2 linked regions of the Drosophila melanogaster genome follow. The protein of the gene in region 1 interacts with the protein of each later gene in a pairwise test. Each region holds a gene or a part of one and is shown on either strand. Other genes may lie near its edges.

Region 1 (3,094 bases):
TCAATTTTCGCGCTTCTTACACTCAAACTCGAAATTATTGTGAACTACATACATATACTCGTATTGTACATACAAAGGCGGAAAGTTTGAGGGTCCCGACAAAAAAATTCAGCATAGACTGTAAGAAAATCCCATGCTCACTCACACGTATTTGCTAAACAAAAAGCCAATAAGCTTAAGGATAATCTCAAAGAACACCTTTTCTCGACTACTCTATTGATATGTATTTTTTTTTTGGGTATCTAGTAAGCTACTACATTGATATAACGTTAACGATACTGATAGCAGCAGATGAAAATCTTACTTTGTGTGCATTATATTCAACATAAGCAATACTTAATTTAGCATTCGAATGCATTAAGCAATGTTTATTAACAATTAAAACGATTCTAAACTTAAACCCCCAATGGAAACTCATTCTTACACTACACACATTCTACATTCTACACACAAACCACATACCTAACAAGTTTTTGGAATTATTGCGAAAAGAAAAAGATAAACTTAAAGCAAAAAACGAATGTGCAGTTTTATTTCATGCCTCTATTGTAAAACTGTCTTTAGTGGACTTGGGTCTAAATAGTTTATAATTATCCTATTTAAAAATTGTGAGTTGAGGAACTTAAGTGGATATTTCCCATGACGACTACCAGGGCCTCCAGAGATTTGGCTTGGATTTGGATGTGGAGGCCACAAGATGATCCAATTCTTTCGCAAATTCGAAACTCGGCTGATAGCCGTTGTGTTGCAGAAATTGGGACACTTCCAGGACGCATTCTCGAAAGCCACTCCAATAGCAATCAATTGGGCTCTGATATACTCCGGATGTAGGCGCTGTGGTGGGCGTGGCCACCGGACAGTTTTTCTTGCTCAGGTGGTGAACTGCCAATTCCAGGACATCTCCCATATCCATTTTGGCCATGGTCTCGCCGTCCTGTATGCAAACATTTCAAACATATTATATTGTATCAATTTTAAGAGATACAATATACAAAATCATTTTGCTACGAGCTGAGATGAGTAAGAAGACCATGGGTCAGAGGTCAACGTGAGACCACTCACCAGATGCGACACCTCCTGAAGCAGGTCCTTAATAAAGTCCAGGCAGCGATTGATGCGTGACCGCCTCTTCCTCTCCATCATTGGCTTAAAAACCTCTCGATACTGATGAGATCGTGACTTTGCTCCAACATGAGACTTCTGCTCCTCGGGACGTGCCATCATAAGCCTGGCCCAGCTCCACCTTCGGATCTTAAGCGACTGAATGGCCCAAGGAATTGGAGCAGCAGCGGCAGCTTAGATACACCCTAAGTAGCACGGCTCAGGGCATATTAGTTTTACGGAAATATGGGCTCATCCCATATATGAATCCCTTGGTTTTCTTTACAGTTACTTTGCACAATTTGCATCTTTCGTATTTCACAATTGTTTTGGTCTTTAGTACTAAATACTGCGAGGTATTATTCAGTCGCATTTTATTTTTTTTACTTACCTTGCATTAACCATCTCAGATTTCTGACAGCTTACGCAACCGAAGCAGCGATGTCGACTGCAGACGATGCGTGTTTCATTGAGGAAAATTTGCTGATGGCAAAAGTTGTCGCCGGCCTAAAGACACCTACTTGGGGTTCCTAGGAATCGGAAAAGTAAACGTTGCTGGTTACTGGGATACTTGGTTGCTCGAAGGGAACGCGAATTGGGGAAGTTCCAAATAATTCACAGAAAACCAGAAGACACCAGATATATTGGACCATACAATCCCTGTATGCCTATATCTCAATCACAAATTGATTTGCACTTTAAAAAATGATTGGAGATATAATATTTATTTGAAAGTATAGCTAATTTTACAAGTTAAGATACAAGTTGAATTCTCTTGTATGAATTTACAAACTTATGTTCTGTGGTGTTTGTCAACACCATTCTTTATGTTATTCAAGATATATAAAATTAAAATATTTCTTCACGTTCTGGAATATTTTTTCCCGTGCACTCGACTATTATACAACTTCATTTGGTGTCAAAACCGATGAGAATCTGTTTCTGGAGGCTTCTGTTTATTTGGTTTTCTGCGATGGCTTCCGCGCCAGCTGAAGTATCTGATTTGCTGCCTTGTTTTTGTTGATATTTCTGCGAAGGGACTTGTGCTTTTCAAATGGCCTTTTTTTGGGATTACGGCAAGGGCGCGTTTCCCACGCTCGATCCCCACTTACCATTGGTGCACGCGATTGCGGCAAGCTGCTGAGGCAAGCTATTAAACGCCACACTGGGCCGGGGGGCGGTACCGGTGGGCGTGGCAGGGGAGTCGACACATGTTGTGTGCCAGAGAACTTTGCTCCGATCCCCAGATCATCAAATAGTTGTCGCTGTCTGCTCGTGCGCAAATTGCAATACTTTGCATACCCTTACTGCAGGGTATCTGAGCTTGGACTTTAAATAAGGGGGTATAACATAGCTTATACTCTCTATCTCTGTTATAAAGTCAATTTTCCTTAGATCTTTAGTACAGTGGGTAGTTAAGGAGACATAACTTCCAAAAAAAAAAACTATAAAATTGCAATAATTTATGCAAAATATGTATTTTATTGAATGGGATGAATAATTTACCTTATACGACTGTAAAACATTTCTAACGATTAAATGCACTTCTAAAAGTTTTCCCACAAGTAGGTGAGCTATTATGCTAAGCGTTCCATGACTTGGAATCTAAGATCTTGTTTTGATCTTCGCTGATCTTTGAGAACTCGGGGATTACTTACACATTTCTGGGCAGGCACAAGTGGGCCGAGGCAGTGTAGATTCATCACGTTTTCACTCAACACACGCAGCTCATTAACAGCCCCGCTGACAACTTGTCAGGACTTCCCCCTCGTGAATCCCCCTGCTACGCAACCCCCATTCCCCGCCCATTCCAACACTTCCCGCCGGGAGCGTGGGAAATTATGCGTGTTGGTGGGACGTCGGGCGGTGAAAATTGGCGCGCTCTTCGGGGGGCCACACCGCGTGGCATTGACAACTCTTCCACATTTCGCGCCCAACGATGCGTTGGCATCAGTGGGTCACAGGGATTACGGCTGGCTGGGATTCCAGAGCC
Region 2 (3,696 bases), 2.2 Mb from region 1:
GTGTACACAGGTATGTGGTCACCGTGCGAGGTGGCATGCGAGGCGCGATTCTGGCCGAGATGCGTTGACAATCCCATTGCTGGGCCGCATTTCCCCAGTGTTCATCAGCGATCATGCGAATGCAAATAAGGTTTCAATCTGAGATCTAACGGGGCGGTTCCAAAATCGGTTCCAGAGTTAGGGTCGCATGGATACCGCGCATCCAGTTTTCCGTTTTGAGGTCAAACAATGTAAAGATAATCACAATCGGTAATAATGTTTGGTATATATCTTAAAAAATTATAAAATAAAATCTATTTTTACAAATAGTTTGCTATTTACATATACTCCTTCAAGATGCTGATTTTAAGATATACTATCTGGAAAAAAAAGTTTTTATATTTTGATAGTCCACCAGATACCACCAGATATTTTGCTACCACCAGATATTTTGCATACCAGATGGTTGCTGTTTTTTTGTTTTTTTTCTGGAGACTCACATAACAAGTGGCCATTTTTTTCCAATATATTTAAAAATTTAATTACAAGGCAGGCATTTTAAATATAAGCCTTGTAACCCCTTAAGTAAGTCCATTACACTCACTTTAACCACCTATTACCTTGTATGCAAATGAGTAGTTCGGTTTGATTAGCATTCAAATTAGTTGCAAGTTGGCATTTATTTGGCGAAATGTATTTCATTTGTGCATTTAGTACAACTGATGACGTTGAAATAAGTAGTATTGCGTGTGGCATGAGCCCAAATCGCTGATAAAGCTAACTGCAATAAATAATAAATGTAAATTATAATATCACAAAAGGCTTATGTTTGCATTAGCATAACTGAAGCGTACAGCTAAATAGGCCAGAATGTTTACATGCTAGCTAGGTGATAAAATACATTTGTAGAGGATATATTAGATATATAATGGTCGATCGATATGCGATGTTAATATCAGATTCCAAGACTTTCATACGGACAGACATAGCCATATCGGCTTGGCTAGTGATCCTAATTCCGACCAGGATGGCAAGAAGTTCTGTGTGACATACAATTTTCAACGAATCTAGTAACTGGTTTAAAAATAGTTATAGCTGTAACATGCTTAAAAATTTCATAAAATTGTAAATGGTATTTAGCTCAATGAATTCTGAAGTTGGTTAAAGGTACAATATGAAAATGTCCAAAACTTTCGATTTGCCTCTTGCATATCTCAATTTTCATCACAGTATTTAAGCAGTAATTAATGGGTATCCCATTAGTCGGTACTAGACTTCAGCATTCTCTCTAGTTGGGAAACCCGAGTCGGCTTTGACGACTGTCAGTAACATTCCTTTCATTTCGAACGTTTAAAAGTCACAATCCGAATCCCGGTCTAAAATACAGGTCGAATATCGAATCCAAATTTTAATCTTTTGTTAAAAGCCACGCCAATCCGGTCAACAACGATCCAAAGATGTCCGATCATTTCAACTTCAACGAAGCCTTCAACAGCCAGACCATGCGTGGTCGCGCCAATGTAAGTGATTCAGTACACGGCAGTACACAAGATGCGCCCAAATACGCCACCGAAACCCACAGGTAGCCAAGGCCACCTGGGCCTCGTTGGGACTCGTCTACGTCCTGGTCAAGATGCACCGCCGCAACACGAAGCGGCGCGAGACCAAGCTCTACTGCAAGGGCTGCCAGCAGGCCATGCTCCATGGCTAGGGCGCCGATGCTGCCAAATCATTGAAGTCATGGCTCCCCACCGCTCCGACCCATTCGACCCGTCAGCAATCCATAACTATTTATAATCAGCACCCCCTTTCCGGTCCTCGATGCCACAGTTAAAGGCTTGGGGACCAAACTCATGTACCACCTCGTTGAGTCAATAAAAATCGAATCCTGCCAATGAATCGACTTTGTAATCTAGTTGGCCGAGCTTTGCACTTCGCTGCTTGTCATTAGGTTCTCGCTCGGAGCTATAGGCAGAACACACTCAGCTCTCACCCGGACCCGACCCCAAATCCAGATCTCCAGATCTCCAGATCCAGTCCAGTAGCAATGGCCGACGGCTTTAAGAAGTACTTCAATGGGACAACCATCAATGGACGCGCTAACGTAAGAGTGATTCTATTGAACGCACACAAGATAAAATGAACCATCGCTTTGGAGCTGTTGATGGACACAAAATATTATTTTCAGCTCCAAATTGAAATTCAAAATTATTAATTTAACATTTTTTTACATACATTTTTTACAAATACATATACTATGACCCATTTCGCAGGTGGCAAAGGCCACATACGCCACGTTGGCCCTGTTGTTCATCGTGTACAAGCTGCGCCGCGGATCCGGCAAGACCGGCGAGTTGGCCAGCGGCAAGTGCAGCTGCGAATCGGACCACGAGTCGTCCCTCAATGGCGACATTGGCGTCTACGGCGCGGATCCCGACTGCTCCGTTTGCCGGGAGCGATCGGAGCGGGCCATGACCGAGTTCGATCGCGAGCAGCAGCGCCGGGCGGCGGGCGAGGATGACAATGGTTGTCGCGACGATCCGCCGCCGCCACCACCTCCGCCCACATCGGGAGGATCAGGCTCTGCTCCGCGGCGCAAGTGTCCCTGCGAGGAGCCGCAGCGTCGGGCGGAGGGAGCCGTGAAGCATAGCAGCCACAGCAGCTGGGCGCGAGGCCAGCAGATTCAGCCGCCAAACCAGTACCAACAGTATAAACAGCCCGAGGCGGAGCAAGTGCGTCCGGCTAGCCAAGTGATGGGTCAGGTGCACGACGCCTTCTACAGGGTGCTGCGAGGAGTCGTGGGAGCCGTTTTGGGCAATGCGGCGGTCAACACCAGCGGCACCGCTTCCGATTCCCCAGCTCAGGCAGCCGCAGTGGAAGTCTCGCGGGATGAGCTGGACGAGGATGAACGTGACGACGGCCAGGACGATGAGACGCCGTTAAAGCGCCGCACGGCACCGCGCTCTTGCGTGCCCACAGGCAGCCAAGAGAACGCCTCGGGACAGCCGGAGGAACTGGGCCGGGAACAGGCCGACGACCAGCCGCAGGCGGAGGAGCAGGCGGAGTACAGCGCGTTCAGCGATGGCTTCACTTCCGGCCTGTCCTTTACCAGCGATGAAAAGTAGTTGGCTAGGTCTGGGCGTAGGCTTCAAGAGATCTGCTAAATTTTTAGTCTAAAATAAATACGAAGAACTTCTTTATCTCAGCATTATGCTTTAACAATCCATTACTTGGCGCCCCCGGGTGGATCCATTTCTTTCAGTCGTTGCAAGATACTAAATTAAACGGGGGGCAATTGCTTTATAAAGTATTTTATTTAGCTTCCGTTTAGTTCAGATAGAGTTTTCTTTGCGGCATCTAACTTTTAAATAGATCATCATTATAAACGTTTTTAGCCCCTTTGTGTTCTCGGGGTTATCAATATCAATTACGTAGCTTATTAACTGTTTTGGGCGGGGTTCGGACTCGAGATGGATGGGAATGGATTGGATTGGATTCAATTGGGTTGCGTCTAACGTTTAAGCCTTGTGTTTAATTATGAGTGGACTTCAACTAACATTTATATTTAAATTTATATGTATATATAATATAATATGGAAATAACTTTAACGTTTTGCTTTTTGGTTTCATTATGCGATCGACCGATTCTTTCGCTCTCTCGCCGTCTCTCTCTCTCTCTCGCTCTCTCATTCTCTCTCTCCTCATTCTCCCTCGCTT

Evidence for each region. The genes of interacting proteins can lie anywhere in the genome.
Region 2: the proteins of Hesr (region 1) and CG15459 interact in a two-hybrid assay, tested with the Drosophila melanogaster proteins (one large-scale study listed by BioGRID).

What each region holds. Positions count from the first base shown.
Region 1 is NC_004354.4:18,203,897-18,206,990, forward strand, and holds Hesr (HES-related), read right to left. Parts: upstream 1,249-3,094; 5' UTR 1,225-1,248; coding exon 1,063-1,224; intron 935-1,062; coding exon 647-934; 3' UTR 507-646; downstream 1-506.
Region 2 is NC_004354.4:20,411,828-20,415,523, reverse strand, and holds CG15459 (uncharacterized protein), read left to right. Parts: upstream 1-1,942; 5' UTR 1,943-2,026; coding exon 2,027-2,083; intron 2,084-2,252; coding exon 2,253-3,104; 3' UTR 3,105-3,183; downstream 3,184-3,696. Other genes in the region: CG15458 (uncharacterized protein), read left to right, coding at 1,437-1,499, 1,562-1,690.